Lytechinus pictus: one gene and its partner. The protein of the gene in region 2 interacts with the protein of the main gene of each other region in a pairwise test. Links are inferred from orthologs where the notes say so. Each region holds a gene or a part of one and is shown on either strand. Other genes may lie near its edges.

What was found. The genes of interacting proteins can lie anywhere in the genome.
Region 1: the proteins of large ribosomal subunit protein uL10-like (region 2) and large ribosomal subunit protein P1-like interact in binary tests that used the Drosophila melanogaster proteins (3 or more experiments, as listed by UniProt). The link is inferred for Lytechinus pictus from reciprocal best matches to the Drosophila melanogaster genes RpLP0 and RpLP1.

What each region holds. Positions count from the first base shown.
Region 1 is NC_087252.1:20,855,501-20,866,898, forward strand, and holds the start of large ribosomal subunit protein P1-like, read left to right. Parts: upstream 1-7,203; 5' UTR 7,204-7,345; coding exon 7,346-7,426; intron 7,427-10,847; coding exon 10,848-11,037; intron 11,038-11,398. Other genes in the region: out at first protein-like, read right to left, coding at 648-695, 2,942-3,119, 3,782-3,916, 6,558-6,782. UniProt on the Drosophila melanogaster protein: Plays an important role in the elongation step of protein synthesis.
Region 2 is NC_087245.1:24,992,647-25,003,461, forward strand, and holds the start of large ribosomal subunit protein uL10-like, read left to right. Parts: upstream 1-5,881; 5' UTR 5,882-6,088; intron 6,089-7,174; 5' UTR 7,175-7,221; coding exon 7,222-7,275; intron 7,276-8,023; coding exon 8,024-8,199; intron 8,200-8,784; coding exon 8,785-8,872; intron 8,873-9,807; coding exon 9,808-9,954; intron 9,955-10,815. UniProt on the Drosophila melanogaster protein: Ribosomal protein P0 is the functional equivalent of E.coli protein L10.

The DNA.
Region 1 (11,398 bases), on a different chromosome or scaffold from region 2:
CAGAGAAATTGACCACCAAATAAAAAAGTTGTGGCCAAAACTGTGATTTTGGGGGGTTTTGGCGGCCATTTTGGATTTTGGCCCGGCACACTTTTTTCTCGGACCCGAGACAAAATTTTTTGTCATTTCATGTTGAGATACATTACAAGGAATAAAAAAAAACTGTTGTCATATTGAAATTACAAAAAAAGTATTTTTGACCCATGTATAGCCCACTCCTAATAGTAGCATTTCTTTTTTTTCTGTCTTCATCTTGCCCCCTCCCTCACTCCCTTCCTTTCTCCCTCCTCTATCTTCGTCTCTTAACCTCTTTCCCTTCCCCCACTACCTCTTCAACTTTCCATCTCTCTCCACATAAACATGAACATTTTATGATGTTTAAGATTATAAAACTCACATGGACAAACATTAAACTTGTTATGCATCAATAAATCATTAAATAAAACTTGATAAATATTTCAATAAGAACAAAAGAAGATGCTGTGAAAACAAAAACATGTGAAACGGGCCAATGTCCAAGTGAATTGAATGAGCATAACAAAACAAAAAATTGATAAATAAATAAATGCAAAGCTGGTAAAGATGAACAATGATTTGCTGCAAATTAATTGCAATAAAGTGTTGAAAGAATTGAAGAAGTGAAATACCCTTGACAGTGTGAGCCCATTTAGGGAAGAGAAGAGATGCTCTGTTTCCTGTTTGGGGGAGGGAGGAAAGGATTGATAAAGCACCATTCACACACACACAAAGAGACACAAAAATCTAAAGGTCAGTGCCAGCCGCACAGAAACGCTGTACATGTTACTGAGCATTAACAGTAAGCCTGTCATATCTTAAAATCGTGAAGTCAGAACATTTATTACAATGTGTAAGTAATGCATTGTAAAATTAGGCATCGCTGCCACATTACCGGTTATAACAGGGCCTCTGTTAAAGCCAACAATGTTTCTGTGCGGTCAGTACAGGAAAATACATATTTGATTTAAAACTGTACAAATTCATCCATAAATTTGACAAATGGTATTCCTTGCAGTACAGTGTACAATGTAGCTGCTGAAATTACATGTACATTGTACAAAATACATTTTCCTATTAACCTATACTCACTGACCGCACAAAAACGTTGTTAGCGCTAACATTTCACTAACAGAGGCCCTGTTACAACCGGTAATGTGGCAGCGATGCTTAACGTTACAACAATGCATTACTTTGATACACATTGAAATAAATGTTTTGACTTCACAAATCCAAAGATGTGACTGGGCTTACTGTTAGCGCTCTGTAATAGGCTAACAACGTTTCTGTGTGGCCGGCAATGATTGTTATTCCCTCTGTGTACGTACATGTATGTACATTTCATGTCCTGAGTCATAACGTAATCACTGGTTCCAGTTAAATGGTGCACTGACCCTATTCTAGTTTCACAAGTCTAATGATCAAAAGCGGTGTGAATTTTTTATCACATGAAAAGCATGTATGGGGGGGGGGGCTTTGAAACGTACTGTACACATGTATTCTGAAAATAAAACATAATAAAATAATCTGAAATTTACAGTGAATTAGAATTCATCACAGACCAAATCAGTATGACACTCCCATTTTTAATTGCTAATAGAGAAAAATATAGAAAATTTGAGGGAAAAGCTGTTGTGTGAGTATCATTTCATTCTGGAGGGCCAATACAATAGGAGTTATTTCTCCAAAGTAGACCTCGAGCATCTTGATGCATAAAACATTTTGGCATTTGGGCTTGTTTTCAGACGGAAAGCTGAGAAAGTAACATTCATCCTGCAATGTGACTTCACGTCTTTGTTTTTTTAATGAAAAATATATATTTTGATGTGGTAGCAACTATGGACACACATGATTATGGATGTTGTTTTTTTCAGTATCCCCCCCCCCCCCTCAACAATTGGTCATTTTTTCACTGAGAACATTTCGTAGCCAGACCCCGGCAGTTGACAAACAAGCTTCTAAAAGCAACAATTACTAAGAAATTGAAATTAAAACAAATAATTTTCTACTTTTATTCAACTGCTGTGTATTCATGTGCATTCATTTCACATTATGCAGAACTTTCAATTTCATTTGGGGATAGAAATCAATGGATGTATGAGAACAAAAAATATAATAAGAGATATATTATTAAGTCATAAATCAGAAAAGGAATCAACTGAAAGGGGAGAAAAGCTACTTAAAGGTCAAGTCCACCCCAGAAAATTGTTAATTTGAATAAATAGAGATAAATCAAACAAGCATAATGCTAAAAATTTGATCAAAATCGGATGTAAAATAAGCAAGTTATGACATTTTAAAGTTTCGCTTACTTTTCACACGACAGTTATATGAACTCAGTGACAAACAAATGAAAAAGTCGATGATGTCCATCACTCACTATTTCTTTTGTTTTTTATTGTTTGAATCATACAATATTTCAATTTTTACCAATTTGACATCAAGGACCAACTTAACTGAACCATAAAATGTTATAACAATGGTAATGCCATATCTTCAGGGAGGAATAAAACGTAGTTTCACAGGACAATGAGGAGAAAATTTGAATATTTCAGATTTCATATTATAAAATACAAAAGAAATAGTGAGTGAGTGATGTCATCAGTCCCCTCATTTGCATACCTACCAGGATGTGCACATAACTGTTTTGTGAAATTAAGCGAAACTTTAAAATGTCATAACTTTCTAATATTTTACATCCGATTTTGATGAAATTTTCAGTGCTTATGTTTGTTAGATTTTTCTCTTTTTATAAAAATCAATTTTTTGTTGGGGTGCTGGACTTGTCCTTTAAGAAGAGATGATTATCTAATATGAAGAGACACCCATATAATGGATAAAAAGCTACTAAACGATTATGAATTTAAACTAAACTACGAATCGGGGACAAAAGCAGATTCAGAATGAGAATCAATGGAATACATACCTTTCGACCATCCCTTGATGTCTGCTGTACGAGTGTACACCCTCTCCTTGGCTTCCATGCATGTGTTGTAGATATGAGGGCTGATCCTGGCCGATCGTTCGAGGCTGACGGACATGTCAAAGGTCAAAGACTCCTTGCCTTTGTCTTCTTCCGGGTTGCGGATGGTTCCGGGATTTTTCTACAAAAAAGTAGCAGCAGTAGAGAGAGAGAGAGAGTCAAATTATACTTTTTTTTTTTTCTGTGCTTCTTTATGAGATCTTACAGCTAAAATTTGCTACATTTTATTATTTTTTTTTTTACATTTTACACTGGACCCTGTGAGAATTTCAGGGCTCTTATTTTAGATTTTCAGGGATTTGTGCCTTTTGTGGGGTACGATGCCCCCCCCCCCCCCCCTTTGATAAAATTTTTTGTAAGTGCAAAGTGTTTGTTGGGAGGTGGGGCTTGTCGAATTATGATGTAGAATGACCATCCTTCGGAATCGAAGACCTTTTTTCTGGACAAAAATGCCCCCCCCCCCCTTTCGAAAATCCTGGATCTTTATTGCCTTGCTACTAATGTGTTACATCAATTACAAGTTTCAAATTACTGAACTAAAGTTAAAATTCTGCGGTCTTCATTAATGGCGTACTTATGAGGGGGCGGCCACATTTGTCATTAAAGATGTTTGGAGATAACAACTACACATTTTCATGTGTACAATGGTCATTTTTTTAAATAATGAAAGTATAACAACAATTTTAATGAATTTTAGAAACATGTATACAGTATGTAAAAGTTTACATTTGACGATTTGAATCATTTTGATGTTTTATTTTAGGTCTAACTTTGGTGTTTTACCTGTCTCAGTTTAGACATGGCATCTGATGAGATGAATTCTGACTTGCTGAATTTGGTCACAAAGCACATGATGTGATACTGACTCTCTAGCCTCTCCTCCTCTCCTAAGACAATGGTTTTAAAGATGCGTACTTCCTAAGAGAGGAATACATGTAAGAGATGAAAAATAGAACAAAAACTGGTATTACAGAATTATCATCAAACTAATGTATCCGAGCTATTTCGGAGGAGTTTTATAAAAATTTTCTGATTTTTTTGTTGTCTTACCGGTATACCACAGCACAAGACGCAAATATATCAGAGGATATGCCTCTAAAAAGCCTCTTGTAGCTTGGCAAAGAACAAAGAGAACAAGATGGCGACGTAAACATCGGCAAGCTTTTTTCCGTCTTCTCAAAATGTTTTTCTCGGTTTTTTTATGAATTCTTGTTTAAAAATGAAATCAACATCATATAAATGTCGGAAATGAAATTATATCCCATTTACATTTTAGGGCTAGCCTAGGCCTACATGTAGATCGTTTAAGTTAGAAGGAAAGTAAAAATCTCGGGGACGAAAAATTTCAGTTTTTTTCACAGTACCGTACACGCACATGAATGGGACGCAATCCCTGGCTCAGTGGAGAGTAAGCACACGTTAGTTAATGATTTTTTACTCTCTAGAAGCCTCCTGGCTAAGCAACACTGAGTACTCTGGGTGATTTCAAGTACGGTGTTCGGTGTTGGTGTTGAGAGCATGAAAACTGAAAAGACTGCTGAACCGAGCTCGAACACCGAGCTGAGTTCAGAGGAGCGATACCGATCGTGTAGCGATAGCCTATGACATCACGCCTCTGCACTGCACTGCTGATCATCTCAACTTTATGTGAGAAATTCTCCACGACGAAAGTGAAATCGGGAAGAAATTGCAAGAAAATCTTATCGTACAGAATGCAAAGGTTAAAATCACTGCAAGGAATCAGAAAGCATAAATATTACTTTTCATTAAAATGTATAAAACTCTTAATGATTTGCGCTCATCTTAACTAAAACTAAAGTAAAAGATAATTTTACAAGGATGTTTCGTCGTGTTCGCCGCCTGTTCGTGAGCTACATCATACATGTACAGTATACAGTTCATCACATCAACATCAACACCAACTTGAAATCATGATTTTCCTAATTTAACACCAGCTGTAAAATTACACTGTAACGCTCGGTTCAGCAGACGACATTCAACACCAGCGCTCAACAAGAACTGCCGGAAATGCGTCATATTTTCCGAGGTCAATCCCAACACCAGCGTGATTTCAAGTACGGTGTTGTTGTGTTGTCACAATTTGTGACTTAACCAACACAATTTCAACACCGTAATTGAAATCACCCACTCACTGGAGTGTCAGTGATCAGTGACTGAGCGAGATCATTTTATTGAGCTCAAGGGAGGTTGATATTGATCCACCATTTAATTTAAAGGAGAATGAAACTCTTGGAGCAAGTTAGCTTTTGTGAAAGCAGAAAAATCAAAGAATAAGATCAACAAAACTTTGAGTAAAATAGGACTAGCAATAAAAGAGTTATGAGCATTTGAATGTCGAGATCACTAATGCTATGGAGATCCTCCCATTGGCAATGCGACCAAGATCTGTGATGTCACACACGTACAACTCTCCCATTCGGACACTGAAAATATACCCCAAAACATCTCTTTTTGCTCATTCTTATCATATGACAAACGATTCATCAATTAATGATATAATGTTGTGAAACCTCTGTACTTGTCATCTCATAAAGAAAACACCTAACCTTGTGATAGACTCTATAAAAGTGAGAATATAAGTGAAATAAGTACTAAAGTAATGACGGAGTTGTACGTGTGTGATATCACAGATCTTGGTCGCATTGCCGATGGGAGGATCTACATGGCACTAGTGATCTCAATATTCAAATGCTCATAACTTTCTTATTATTCATTCAATCTTCCTCAAACTTTCAACAATATGTTTCTTTGATTTTTCTCTTTGATATGGATTCAGCTAGTTTCAAGGGTTTCATTCTCCTTTAAATCATTTTTATTTATTCATCATCATCATCATCTGATACGGGAGTGAGATAATGCCTTCCTGTAAATCTCCCGGTCGTCAACGATCACGACTTCTAACAGTAGAGGCGCACGGCCAATATGGGAGACTCTCTCCAATAGGGGAGACAATCTCCCACATTGGAGACAATCTCCCACATTGGACTCTTTGGAGACTTGTCTTGCAAAAGGACAAAAGAAACAACACCAACAAAAGCATGATTTTTTTTCCACCCAAAATTTTGTCTCACTGGACTGAGGTCAGAAGCCCATTTGACTTGTTTTGTGTGTGATTGACAACTTAAATCCTTGACAAAACAAAAGTAGACGGTGAATTTTTAATTAAAGTAGACGGTGAAAAGGGGTAATTTTTCATGAGGAATATCTGCTTATCACATTTTTATTTTCCGCCAAGGTAATCCTTTTGCAGCAAATGTAAACAAAGAAAATTGGTCTCCAAAACTGGAGACTGTCTCTGAAATTGGATACCCAAATTCTTTACAAAAGTCTCTGATATTGGAGACAGTCTCCAGTCCAAGTCCAATTAAAATATTGGCCGTGCGCCTCTACTTACTCTAAGTTCTACTCTTTAATACGTGGTTTGTGAGACTGGATCAACTGTGTTACAGTGTATATACAACGGTTTAATGCCTATGATGACTCTAAACTTAAAATCTACCCAATCCATCCAGCAAGCATTTTTTTTTGCTTCACTTACCGATTTGAAATCAATGACCATTTTCACAAGTGTGCCATCAAGCTTTTGAAACTGCAAATAAATCACATCGCGTTTGACATCAGCGTTTATACTCTCTTGAACAAGGTCACCACCGTCGTTTTTCACGTTGATTACCAGTTGACACATAACTCTGTGATTCAACATACAAAATAAAGCAATTAGTCCCCAAAGGAACCCCATTAAATTGAAATAATATCGCAACATTTTAGAGTGTTCGTTTCTCCTTCCACAGCCCAAATACAGCCATAATTCACATTAGCAGAGCGCGCGCGCGCGCTATGGGAAAACAGTGTAAAGCCGTATCCTGGTATCAGCCTACCTTTATCGCGCCGGACTTCTAGGGGATCAGACGATTGTAGTTCCGTTAGCCACGAAACTTGGGGCCATTAACATTACGCACGGATGACAGGAATAATCCACTTTTGTAAAAGTTAAATGTGCTGAAATAATTCTTATACATATATCAAAATAACATCTCTCGATATCAGATTCGATTAGTAAAATAAAGGATTTTTATAATATATTTGATCTGAAGATACTGTTTAAAAAAACAATTACAATCGACTTTTAAATGTTTTTTTAAATAAAAAATAAAAAGATCCCACCCAAAATTAATGAACTTGTCCTTTCCACAGACCTCTTGCAACACGGATAGAAACAAGGTGCACAGTTCTCTATCGAGCTAAGGCCAAAATCGGCGACGTGTACCATTTTTCTTTGCCATCAAGTACTGATTTCCCAAGAAATCAAGCCACTAAATATCAAAGATGTCTTCTGAGGACAATACTTCTGAGCTTGCCTGCGTTTACAGCGCTCTTATCCTCCAAGATGATGAGGTCCCAATCACGGTAATACTTCCCCCATAGTGTGTGCCCATGTATAAAGTTTTGTGTAATGTCCGCGAAGCTAAAAGTTTAAAACCTTCAGCATGGCTTATATAAGTTAATTGCAGATTACACCCCATAAAGTTGAATGGGTAGACACTTTCTATTTGGCAAGTATGCCTTGTTCGAAAAGTGGTGGGTGGGGTGTATCCTTAATATACGTATTCTGCACTTGTCATGGACATGGCTAGGCTCCATGCGTGTTGCCAATCAATGGCAATGCCATGGCCATGCCCATGTTACTACAACTTATTATAAAATAGCTGTATTATTTCAAGCATCGCGATTGGTCAATACGCGTCACATGACATCCAACTTTTTTTGTGCACTGCACGGTAGTGCAAAAGGTGTGCAACGAAAATTGACATTGCACGCTCGAGCAAACCAGTGCGGTAAAGTCCAACAAAACTGTACTGTAAGTTTTTTAAAAATTGTTTCTGTGTTGCTATTTCATAAAACAAATAATGCACTTGCTCTGTCTTGCATAAAACTTAAAAGTAAATGCAGAGAAAGCTCGGTTTCTTCAGATGGAGCACACTGGGCACTCGCCGCAAGCGGCTCGTGCACAGTGCGACTCCTATCTAAAGAAACCTCGCGTGCTCTGCATTTCCACTAACGCACTCGGCTGCATGCATTATTTGTATACTATTTACATCGTTGGCTGTTAAACGTTATTCGTTAATGTTGCTGATGAAGAACGCATAAAAGATTATTCTTAATCTTAGTCTCAGATGGTCCAGTATGGCAGTAAAAACTGTAGGCCTACTAAAAAAGTAAAAGTTGGACTCAATGTCTCAATCCAATTTTGATATGTTTGAACTTTGTTGAATGAGTCTGTTTTCTGTGGTGTGCAGGTGTGAATATGGAATGCCTGAAAGTTTGTGTGATGATGTACAATAATTCAACAGTTGGGGTAGAGAAACTAGCCCGAATTTTAAATGTCAATTTGTCTAACTTATTTCACAGGCCATGCAGCACAGACCCAGTCCAAAAAAAAAGAAGAAAAAAAGAAAGATTAACAGAAAAGAAATAATGAGAAGGAAAAAAAAGGATGAAGGGAAAGAAGCTTTTTCATTTCATCCTCTCAATTCAAAGAAGGCTCCAAATTAAAGCAGTGGCAAAAAGAGTCAATTTTTTTACTGGTGTCCAACACCACAAGACAGAAGGAGAATCACCACAGGAGCCTCAGGAGGAAAGTCCAGATTTCAACTCCAAAACCAAAATCCCCTTTGAAAAGTTGGCAAATGTTGCCCTACAAATACAGAATCTGTGCCGCATTTCCAGGGCAAGCAGCAGCTTAGCTCAGTCAGATATAAGAAGCGGGGTCGCCAAGAAATGCACTGAAAATGATGAAATCTGTGGTTCCAAATTTTTAATGTTCCCACAAATTTAGAATATCTTGTATCTTCTAAATGATATAAGAAAAAAATATGAACCCCAGAAAAGCTCAACCGCATTGAATCTGCACCGAAATCAAATCTACGGCATGCTAGTGGGTTGCCTTCATAGTTCCACAGGGGTTCTGCATGTAATGTGGGCTGAATGGCCACTGCAACTTCTGGGGGTTGCATACCGTATCGCGTGCGGCTCTTGCACACACTGTCAAAGTGGGGTACTGGCGAATCACAGCCGCAAAACATGGAGATACATTGTCAGTAGAGGCGCACGGCCAATATTGGAGACTATACTATCTCCAATGTGGGAGATTATCTCCAATATCAGAGACTTTTGTAAAGAATTTTGGTATCCAATTTTAGAGACAGTCTCCAGTTTTGGAGTCCAATTTCCTTTGTTTACATTTGCTGCAAAACAATTACCTTGGCGGCAAATAAAAATGTGATAAGCAGATTTCTCATTAAAAATTACCCCTTTTCACTGTCTACTTTAAAAATTCACAGTCTACTTTTGTTTTGATAAGGATTTTTGTTGTCAATCACACACAGAACAAATGGGCTTCTGACCTCAGTGAGACAAAATTTTGGGTGGAAAAAATCATGTTTTTGTTGGTGTTTCTTTTGTCCTTTTGCAAAGCAAGTCTCCAATGTGGGAGATTGTCTCCCCTATTGGAGAGAGTCTCCCATATTGGCCTTGTGCCTCTACTGATTGTATCAGGGAATTCTCTGTTTCCATTGTTAGATTTGTATGAAATATTGAGGTGGAAGTTGAAAATAAAATTGCTTTGAAAGTAGACAAATATATTCAACAAACATTGATACAAAATTTCATTTTGTGAAAAGACATGTAAGATAAAAAAAAAATGTTGCAGAAAATCTAAACATGCCAGTCGAAATTTGGGCAACAAATGAGTCTAAGAAACCGGCTCATGGGGGGGGGGGGGGGGGCATCATATGGCATGATAACAGTTGTAGATCAAAGGAGAGTTGAGTATAAAATTAAAAGAGGGAGGAAAGTGGAGAATCTGCAGTGTGAGCTAATTTCCAAGGCAGAAAGGATAAGAAAGAACTTTTAGGGGGATAAAAACAAGATGCTATGAGAGAAAGTAGAATTTATAGTGTTAATCGATCCAAGGTGAAATCTTGGTGGTTTTTGGCCAAAGATGGTTCCAAATGGTTTCAGAGTGATAATTGTTTACCTTGGATAGATCTACAAATTATACACGAATCATTTGTACACTACAATAAAACACTGTAAAGTGAGTGGATGAACTATGCTGAAAGTCAAAATGTCCTAACTTTGCTTTCATAAAATCTAATGAATTATACATGCATATCATATGAAAGAGAATAGTGTAGCCTTCGTTTTCCACCTCAGTAACAGTTATACATGAATGATAGTGATAGTCATTGACATTTAGTGAGATAGTGCATATTTTCATACCTTTCTGTGATCATTGAAGCGTAACTAACAATGCTTCAATAATCACAACTTATTATTTATTTTTTCTGAGAGTCGAGAGGATATGCTTTAATTTCATATAAAGTTTGGATCCTTTGCTATTTTTACAGGAAATGAAATATGAAAATGAATCTAATAACATCTTGGTACAAAAGTCAATGAGGTGACACCAGTCAGATATTCATTCGTTTTTAAATCGTTTGCGAAATGCGTGATGATTGAAATATTAGGAACTGTATATCAACTGAAATGTTGCTCGCTACATGTATGTTTGAAAAATTTGCAAATGATTTTCGACCAATGCACAGACCCCCCCCCCCCCATCTTGTGCCTTCCCTCTCTTGTCTCTATCTTCCTCTTTCTCACTCCCTCCCCCCCCCCCCCCCCCCGCCCCAAAGCCTTTTCTTTCAACTTCAAGCTGTCCTAAAGTCAGATACATTAACTGGCATCCTTGGATTGACCGACTCTGATCCATTTTTAAATGTTGATCTTCATTTGTTTGTATTGTTATTGAATTCTCTGTCCATAGGCCGACAAACTTCAAACCTTGATCAAGGCTGCTGGAGTTAATGTGGAACCGTACTGGTGCAGCCTCTTTGCCAAGGCTCTGTCAAGCGTTGACTTGTCTACCCTCATCGCCAACGTAGGAGCCGGTGGTGGCGGTGGTGGAGCTGCTGCTGCCCCAGCTGGAGATGCTGGTGGCGAGGCTCCCGCCGAAGGTAAGTCCGGGTACTCTTTCTCAAATTTGTAAACAGATTGTGGAAAGCTACTCAAAATTGTCCCATAGGATTGGTTGATGGCCGGGATGGTCGTATGGAAATTGTTGGTGAAGAGGAAACTGATGCCCTCTCTTCAGATGTTTGCGATGCAATTGCTGAAGGTGAACTAGGTATCTCTGTCGTAAACTTGATTGCAATAATCACAATACTCGTGCATGCCATGTCATCGGTTGATACTGATGGTAAATTTCTTCAAGAAATTTTGGTTGAACGTGGAGCTGCTAAAGCCACTTCTGAATGTGAAATAGGGTCGTCTTTCATAACACGAAGTTTCAAATGACCCTTGCAAGTCTCAGCGCTG
Region 2 (10,815 bases):
GAGCTGAAATTTTTTTATATTCTGACCGAGAATTTGGACATTCTAAGCATAATGTTGGTAGTCATGAACAGAATGAGTACCTAACAAAACGAAGCGCGAGCTTAAAATTTTAGAATTTCCGACCCAAAACTAGACTTTCCTAAGCACTTTTCGTAACCATGAACATGATCGTCACCTATCAATTGATGCAAGCGTAAAGGGCGAGATGGAAATCTTTTATATTCCGACCTAAAATTTGAAAAGTCTAAAAACACTTTTGGTATTCAAGAACAGGATGGATATGATCTAAATAATTGATGCGAGCGCGTAGCGCAAGCTGAAAATTTTGATATTCTGACCTAGAATTTGGACATTCTAAGCATATTTTGGTAATCATGAACAGGATGAGTATATAGCAAAACATTGTATGAAGCGCGAGCTGAAATTTTTGATATTTCGACCCAAAGTTGGACATTCTAAGCACTTTTCTAACCATGAACAGGATCGTCACCTATCAATTGATGCGAGCACAAAGGGCGAGATGATTTTTTTGTATATTCTGACCTAAAATTGTTTGCTTTCTAAGCACTATTGGTAATCATGAACAGGATGGTTATCTAACAAATTATATGCGAGCGCGAAGCGCGGGCTAAAAATTGTTGATATTCTGACCATAAATATGGAAAGTCTATAATCACTATTGGTAATCAAGAACAGGATGGGCATCTAACTATGCATTTGAGTGCAAGCGCGGGCGCCAAAGTCATGTAAAACATGAATTTGGCGCCCCCCGGTCGAACATCGAATTGGCGCCCCAAAGGTCGAATATAAATTTGGCGCCCCATCCCTAGGTTGAAAATGAATTTGGTGCCCCAGGAAAAATATCGAATTGGCGCCCCAAAGGTCATATATGAATTTGGGGCCCCCTCCCTATAGGTTGAAAAAACTTGGGCACCTAAGGCAGAACATCAATTCGGCGCCCCCCCCCCTTCCTAGGTTGAAGAGTAATTCGGCGCCCCAATGTCGAACTTCAATTGGGCGCCCCCTATTTCAAACATCAATTCGGCGCTCCCTATAATATGTCGAACACCAATTCGGCGCTCCTAGGTAGAACATAAATTTGGCGCCCCCTATATCAAACTCTAATTCAACCTATGTCGAACATGAATTCGGTGCCCCTAGGTAGAACATAAATTCAGCGCCCCTAGGTCGAACATCAATAATTTGATGCCCCTAGTTTGAACATAAATTCGGCGCCCCTTGGTAGAACATCAATTTGGTGCCCCCTATATCAAACTCTAATTCGGCGCCCCCTATATCAAACTGTAATTCGGCGCCCCTATATGTCGTACTTCATTTCGCTCCCCCTCCCTATGTCGATCCTCACTTTGGCGCCATCCTAGACCGAACATAAATTCGCCGACCCCTATATCAAACTCTAATTCGGCGCCCCTATGTGGCTATGTCGAACTTCTATTCGGCACCCCCCCCCCCTTCTTTTTCTTCTTCTCTCTTTCTTTCCCCTTTTTTTTCTCTTTCTCTTCTCCTTTTCCTCCCCTTTTCTTTCCCCTCTTTTCTTCTTCTTTTTGGCGCCCCCCTTTTCTCCTACACAGGGGGGCGGGGGCGGGCCCCGAAAGGCCCCCCACAATACACGCATGCCCAAGGAAATTCCTGGGTTTGCCGCTTCCCAGGGCCGTGGCCTCCACTGGCATTTATAGAAGCAAGTTTCATAAAGTTCATATCGAAATTAGCTATTTATGAAAGTATGAAAAGTCTCAACTTATGGCGATTAAAAATGGCGGGTTTACTTAGTAATACAACTCTTAACATAAAATTCATATGTCCTCCTTAATCGCTGAATATGCTGCTCATCTGTATAATGTCTCAATTCAACATGATGTTACGTTTTAAACGTTTTGATACTTTTACTGTACCCATTCATCGATTTTTTTTCCCCACACATTGAAAGTGTCCCGCTTTATATAAAGAAGTTATAAGACCGCTATTATATACAAAAGAATTATTCATCCTCACCTCGATTTTTGTGCCACCGATTGAATGAAACACAATTGCACAAAATTAATAACACATTATTATGGTATATACATCCTCGATATCTAAAGCTTCAAATACCTCAAATAAATAACCTGTTTATTAAGATCCAAAATGTTCAGTCTGTTAAAATGTAATTGGAATTAACACCCTCTCCTTTTGCAGGGACAGTAGAACCAGGGGGCAGGGGACACTTCCCTCCACAATGTCTCCAATAGGAAAATATTCTCTTTTTTTTTTTCAAAATGAACTTTGCACTTTGTGATGTAACACGTTCTTTAATCTGCGCATTTTCGCCCTAAAGTCGATTTTCTTTATTTGTTATTTATTTCAGATGGCGAAATATTTCTTTCTTTTTTCATTCACTTTTCTTTTTTCGCCTCTGAAGGGCCACGTATAGGCTTACAGTCACTAGCGTACCTAAGGAAGGCAGGGGGCAGACTGCCCCCCCCCCCCCCTGACGAGTCACAAGCAAAAAAAAAAGGAAGCGAAAAAAGGGGAAAAAAGAAAGAGAAAAAGGGGGAAGGGTAAAAAGAAAAAAAAAGTTTAAGAGAAAGGGGAAAACAAAAACTGGACTGCAGACTGTCGGAAAAAATTATGAACTGTCGGGAACACGGGGCTGTTCCAACTGAATCGGTTTTTTAGTTCCACCATCTTTGTCGCTAAATATAAATTAAACTGTACACTTTTATCGGTAAATTGTGATTTTTTACGAAATGCGACTTTTAGAGCGCTCTGTACCGATAGTGAGGACGGATTGGGCTGACCAGGGACAGGAAAAGGTAGAGAACAACTTTTAGGTAATATAATTATAACAATACACGCTCGCATCAATTTTTAGGTTAGATACATAAGATAAATGTCTAGTTTTCAGGTTGAAATATCAAAAATTTTCAGCTCGCACTTCGCGCTCGCGTCAATTGATTAGTTAGAAACCATTTTGTTCACGGTTACAAAAAGTGCTTATAATATCCAGTTCTTAAACCGGAATATCAAAAAATTTTGCTCGTGCTTCGCGCTCACATATATAACTGTTTAGGTATATCCATCCTGTTCATAATTAAATGAAGTGCTTAGAATGTCCGGTTTTCAGGTCGGAATATAAAAAATGAAAATATCAAAAATATATCATTAGAAACCAATTTGTTCACGGTTACAAAAATTGCTTAGAATATCAAGTTCTTAGGTCGGAATATCAAAATTTTCAGCTCGAGCTTCGCACTCGCATAATATTCCATCCTGTTCATAATGAAATGAAGTGCTAAGAATGTAAAGTTTCAGGTCGAAATATCAAAAAATTTCAGTTCGCGCTTCGCGCTCACACCAATTAATTGTTTTTAACTATCATCTCGTTCATAGTTTAAAAAAAAAAGGTGCTTAGAATAATCCAGTTTTCAGGAGGGAATATCTCAGATTTTCAGCTCGCTCTTCGCGCTCGCATAAATTAATTATTCAGTTAGAAACCAATTTGTTCATGGTTACTAAAAGTGCTTAGAATATCCAGTTCTTAAGTCGGAATAACAAGTTTTAGCTCGCGCTTCGCGCCCGCACAACTGTTTAGATACCCATCCTGTAAAACTGCTTAGAATGTCTAGTGTCCAGTTAGGAATATCAAAATTTTTAGCTCGCACAATTTATAAAGGAATATACCCTTCATATTCATAATTAAGTGCACAAAATGTATCGTTTTAGGTCTAAATTTTTAGAAAAATTCAGCTCGCGCTTCGCGCTCGCAATTATTATTTTTATAAGGCTAAATAATAAATGAAATTTGTTTCGCTCGCTCGAAAATCAAAAACTGTGAAGTTCATATTTGGGCAATGATTATAAGCCCCCCTTGAAAAAAATTGTGCCTATACGTCCATGTCTACTACCCCCCCCCCCCCCCCCACCTTGCTCATCCTTGTCGCTTGCCCCCCCTGACGAAATATGCCAGGTAAGCCACTGCTTACAGTATTTCCCCAAATTCAGACGAGCCAAAAGACAGGGGAAAAAATGAAGGAAACCGTTCGGGAGGGGGGGGTTACGGGGTGTATCCGCACCCTTGGATACGCGCCTGCAAGTGTTGCTTTTTTTACCGTCGACTGAAATCCGATCTCCCAGCTTTCATAAAATGCATCCAACATCTTCCTAAGTTCGTTTTTTCCTAAAATTAGGGGCGCCATATTGATCTTAAACTTGAGGGACGCCAAATCGCCCGGAAAGCAAGGGGGCTTCAAAAATAGTTTTAAAGTTATATAGGGACGCAAAAATAAGAGGTTGTGGAGCGTGTTTGATCATAACCTTATCCCGGAACCTTATAGTGGCGCCAAATCGATAAGTAATTAAGGTTGGGGCGCTATATTCATGATATAGATTTAAGTATTGGGGTGTCCCATTTACTCATAAGGGTTGGGCGTTGATTTCTTGTTTTCATAATATTGTCTCCGAGTGAGATCATGACTTGATCAGATTAGTGCTTAAAATGTCATCTCCAATCATTTTAGCACGAGCTTCACTTGAAAGAATATGTTTAAAAGGTCCCATTCAGGACTGCATACATGTAATGTAAAATAAGCTCGCGCTTTGCGCTCGTGTTATTTAATTAGTGAGGTCACCTATCCTCCTCGAATTTCTGCACACGATCCTTTTGCATAATCATTTTCGGGTCAGTGTGTGAAAACAATTGAATTCAGCTCGTGCTTCGCGCTTGCATTAATTGCATATTGAGACCTGCTCATGGTCCCATTTGGATGTAGGTGGAGCAATATTGTCAGCGGAGCAAATATCGGCGAAACAAATTTTACAAAAAGTGCTTAGAATATCTGATCGCCGAGATGAAAATATTTTTCCGCCCCGGGCCCCTATAGCTATTATAGCGAAAGCTGGACCCTTCCCTGATGGTAAAGAAATGTCAGCTCATCGCGCTCACATAATTTTACTACAGAGCCTACTCTGATGAGAAGTTAAAGTAAAGTAAATCCCCACAGTGCTTTAATTACGGTTTTCTGTAGTTCGCCTCTATTCTTTTCAAAAAGTGGTATATTTATATTACAACATATTCATGGATATTTTTTCATGAACAAAAGTGATCTTCGCGATTGCCCTTTTTTCACGTGGCTATGCAATGAGATAATTCAACATGCATTTAAGGCACCTATGTTTGCCTGGCGGGGCCCCCCCGCCCCCCCCCCCCCGGCATTTTCTGAAAAGTTCACAGGGGCGCAAACATTAGGTCGGGCCCCCGGGTGCAAAATCCTGGATATATATAAATGCGCCTGTTGTTATCACTGAATGAAGCCAATTAAATTGATACGTGAAACTATAAGAGATCGAGATAATTACATTTATTTATGTATTGATATGTGTATTGTGTGAGGGTGTGGATGTGTGATCACAAAAAGAAAATATGATATTAGGGGCGGATCCAGGATATTTCGAAAGGGGGGCACATTTTTCCAAGGGAAATTTAATTGACAAGAAAAATTAAAAGGTCCTCATTTTCAATGGGGGGGGGGGGCAGTGTTAGAACGACATATTTACATTTTTTTTATTATGCCTCTCAAAGGGATGATCCGCCAGCTAGTGATGATAACGTAAGTGACAGATTCAGAATTTTTAGAGACATGCATGTTGGGGGCACAATTAATAGCAAATTTGAAAAGAGATGGGGTGCGCACTATTTTTGTAAGGATAAAAGATAAAGATAACAATTTTTTCAGATTTAGCTATATTAGCATTGGGCAATTTTCAAATCGTAGAAGGGCGCACTTCCCTCTCGCCCCCCCCCCCCCCCCCCCCTCCCCCATGCACCTGGATCCGCCATTGCCACTGACACTGTTTCATCGTGCTTGCGCCTCGAGTACTTTACCCATTCGTACTTTACCCATTCTCTACCCTCATGTACCACCGTTGAGGTGTGCTTTGCTCAATGGAGTAACGTCTCTTTACATTCAACGCCCATACTGATTTTCGCTGCTCCATCTGTGACTCGGTGGAGTATGGTCGCGTACACGAGCAAAGCACGTGTACTAGTTACCAGCCAAATCTGTCTCTTTCGTTATCTTCATCTGAAATTGTAAGAATGTGGAAATGATAACCCTCTAGAAATTGACTTAAATTACTATTTTCTGAATGCAAATTGTGTGAAATGAGCGATAATTGTGATGTATGAAGATTGAAATTTCCGATTTAAATATCTGAAGGGGGAGATGATGTGTAATAAAATGATAACGAGTCATTTTGAAAAAAGTCGAAAGAATTTGTGAAATGAACAATCGTGTAGGTAGCGTTCGCTGCGTGTGGACGTGTGTGCGTGTATCATGCTGATGAGAGCTGTCTGGCTGTGGACAGTGCAGTGTGGTTCACGAATAGTTGCTAAGTTATTGTGCAACTGCAAGTGCAACATGTGGGTTCTTTGGGAAATGGGAATAGACACAAATAATAGCATTGGCCCTTGCTGTTGAATGCAAAGTTAAATTGCAATTTATGTCTGAATGTGATGATGAATGATTGTTGGCATGATTACACTGTAATTTACAGATTAGGCTGACTGGGGCCTGGGCTGAGCCGAGTCTGAGAGTGAGAATAGTGAGTGATTGAGAAATTTGTGAATTTGACAGTCGATGCAATGCATGCCGTGTTTTAAGGTTTATCGCTTATCAGAACCGCAATGCGTTATGGGATCGAAAAGGGGGCCGTTAGCGCACTGCGGACAGTCAGTGCACAGATATAGCTAGCTAGCTAACGGCCCCTTTTCGATCCAGGCTATGATGCATTGCGGTTCTGATGAGCGATGAACCTTATTGCCTTGGCCATGCCCATGCCTTGGGAGATTCATGAATGACATTTATTTAGATCTAGACCTATTTGTAATTGCAATTTTTTTTTGTATGTGCATCAGAGAGAAGGGGAATTTAGATTCAAAAGTTAAAATATTAACGTTAATTAAAGAAGATCAGCTGCAGTACGTAGTCTAGTCTGAAATCCTTTCATGTGAATAACTGTCTTCAGTAGTTTCTAATTTGTTTAATTTTTTTTTAAATGGCCAACATTTTTAGGTTCTTTTATTGTGATTTTATTTGTAAAAAAAAATTAAAAAGTTACTAATTTATCTATATCTCATTTTTATTTTTCTCCCCTATTTTCCACTGGTTGGTTCCAGTTTGTCTTGTCTTTAAATCAGCTTCGGCGATCCTTGAGTCACACAAGATGGTCAGGGAAGACAAGACCACATGGAAGTCCAACTACTTCGTCAAACTCATTGTAAGCGTGAGCCTAGTGCTATCCCAATATTACAGCACTTGAAAATACTATCCACATTTGATAATTCAAGCATTTCACAATACATGGCCACCAATGTTCGACATTAGCATTGGAGGCCTACTTTTCTTTCCACTTTGGGCCAGTGTTTTCCTAGAAAGCACATGCTGTGAATGACAATGGAAAATGAAAGAAATCCCAGGTTCAGAAAAGAATAGGGATTGATCAGGCGAACTGGCCCAGTGAGATCCCTGAAAATTGTACTTAATTGAATTTTGTTGTAATCATTCAGAATAGAAGAGAGATTTGCAATGGCATGAAGTAAGTGTATTGTGCCAACCAATCTCTTGGAAATATGTGTAACTTAACAGCATAAAAGGCAAAGTGGATGAAATGCTTGAATTGTCATTTGATTAGCTGTTCGAAATATAAAATGAGAAATTTAGAGAAATGTTTATATGATCTGTTGGGAATAAAGTTCAATTTATAAGTTTGAATTTCTATGGACCAATTTGAATTTGATATTTGTGGTTTACATATTGTATTTATTTGTGGGGGAGGTCATTGTAGGGTAAAATTGATTTTGAACCCTCCATTAATTGCTTGGATCTACCCTTTTGTACATGTATTTGAGAAGATTCTAACAAATTATTATTTTGAAATGAGCCCTTCATTTTTTTGAAGTTGCAAAATGTCAGACACAATAAAAATTCTGGTGAAAAATACATTTCATGCTCTTTCTCCTTTTCAGGAAAACTTAAATGAGTTTCCCAAGTGCTTCATCGTCGGTGTTGACAATGTCGGCTCCAAGCAGATGCAGGCTATCCGTTCCTCTCTACGAGGACATGGTGTTGTCCTCATGGGCAAGAACACCATGATCCGCAAGGCCATCAGAGGACACTTGGAGAAAGATCCTGGCCTAGAGAAGTAGGTTCATACAGGTTTAGTTCCTTAAAAAAAACAGCAAAAGAAAAACAAGCAACTTAAAAGAAAAAAATGCAGGAAAACTTGATAATTTTTTACTATTGTAAAAACCTTTTTTAAGATTAGTTTTACAGTGACTGATTAGAAAACCTGAAAAAAAGTTAATATTCATTAGACATTTTCTTACTGGGTTTGCTGAGATTACAATTGAAATCATGTTATAATGAGGGATGAAAATGAAAAAGTTAATGAAGAAGATTGACCAGGAAATCCCATGTTCTATAGGGTTTACTAGGCCAGTTAATGAGGTTACATCAATGCTTTTTAACAGGTTTTAAGTTGTGGTGGTTTTTGGCAAGTGGGAGGAAAGATACTGTCTTTGTAGTAGACACTTCAAACAAATGCTTACCAGAAAGGGGATTAACACAATGTGTTGTGCAGGGAGTGTTGGAAGAGCTGGTTATATAAAATGAAGTGGCTACCAAGCTTTCCTTCCCTTGGTACAGTTAATGGTTATCCATATATGTCTTTTGTTAGTCAATATGTTTTAAGCATCTTTCTCCCCGTGCTTCTTTTTTTTTTCTGCAGACTCCTTCCTCACATGAAGGGCAATGTTGGTTTTGTGTTCACCAAGGGAGATTTGTTGGAAGTTCGAGAGTTGATCCTTGCCAACAAGGTAAACACACCCTACAAAAATATGTTCAGGGAGGGGATGGGGGATGTGCTTGAGTAATTATTTTAGGGTCAACTTGATGAATTGGTAATATTTGGCTTTTGGGGAGTGTGTTTTGGTTATTATTGGGGTTGGTGCCATGTTTTATGATCATGATGACATAAGGGCACGTTGCCAGTGCGATGCATAAAGTGCCATCAGAGCCAGAAATGGCTGAACCCACTGAAGGCCCGCATCCCACGTTGACCAAAAAAACAAGCCCTTATTAACACGTCTGAATCATAAAAGAATGATGCCACTTACCTCTATAGTAGACCTTCCTAGGCCAAGGCCTATATTTCAAATTTGTTGACATTTGGGATAATTTTATGAAAATTTGCTTTTCATTGATGCCAATCAGTTGGTATATTGCTACGTGTGATTATTAAATAATGTTATAACACCTTTAATAAGCACAAAGTTTCAAAGCACAGCCCATCTTTAAAATGCTCCATGGTTGTTGCTAGAAAAGATGTTGTTTGAGCTATATATATATGAATAGTATACTTTGATCTATCAGATTTGATTTAACTTAGATGAGCTGCAAATATGATATTGAGTATGGATTGAATTCAAAGTGAATCCAAAATGTAAAAACCTGCCAAATGGGAAGTATGGCCATGAATTTTGAGCTTGCCTATTTTGTGTTACATCACCCAAATCTAATGAAAGCACATTGTTATCAAGCAAGATTTTTTTCTCTCCTGTCACTATATAAAAACAAATCGCCTCCTGCCCCCTTTGCATTAATCTTATAAGAACAGTTGCAGCTGCATTGTCAGGAGGAACATTGTACTGGTAAGCTAAACATTTAAATGGCTATTGTGATTTTTCTTTTTTTTACAAATAGCTTCCTATAAATGTATGTTTACACTTGTCCACAATGTTGTCTTGAACAGGTTGCTGCCCCAGCCAAGGCCGGTGCTCTTGCACCCATCGATGTGTTCATTGATGGCCACAACACTGGTTTGGGACCCGAGAAGACCTCCTTCTTCCAGGCTCTCTCCATCGCCACCAAGATCGCCAGGGGAACCATTGAAATCTTGGTAAGAATCTGGTCTCTTCATGTTGATTATCGAGAAGGAGAAAAGGATATTAATAGGATCAAGGCATAAATTTGAAGAGATGGGGGGGGGGTCCAAAGTAGGCAATCTCCATCAAAGAGTCGAGTATTTACTTGAGGTAACTGGTAATGATGATCTGAGGGCATGTTGCCAGTGCGATGCATAAAGTGCCATCAGAGCCAGAAATGGCTGAACCCACTGAAGGCCAGCATCCCACGTTGACCAAAAACCAGCCCCTGATAATGTGTCTGAGCCAGTTTCCTTTGTTGACAAGAGCCTTTCTGAAATGGAGCAGCCAAGTTCATTGTAGAATTTCTTTGTCATTGTAGTACATAGTTTGCTATTTCAGAGGAATGTTAGTGTGGTCTTTATACACGATTACCAACAGATTTTAAACAAGTTCTCTTTTTCCCTTCCAATGGAATGGACTCGGATGCCCTTGTCTGTGCTCCTGCGACATTTGCTCCAATCGTAATTTATCAGAGGGCACAGGGTTCGAGTTCGGATTGTAATAGTTTTTGGTTTAGAATAATGTACAGATAAATAATAGGTTTATGTAGTCATGGAGGTTCGGTTTTATGTTTGGCATATCATGCAAACTTCCCAGCAATTGTTGCTGAAACAATGACATGGAACCGTGTTACTTGATGAGTGTAATCAATTGTTCAGTTCTTTAGTTCTGGGCCCGTCAAAGAGTTACTATCGATCCAATCAATCGTAACTCTATGGAAATCCATCAGTGTCATAATTTCTTCTACAGGAAATTTGTAAAGAAATGTCCTTTGTAAACAAAGGAGAACACACCAAATTGTCAAGAAATAAATGAATTTATAGATATACATT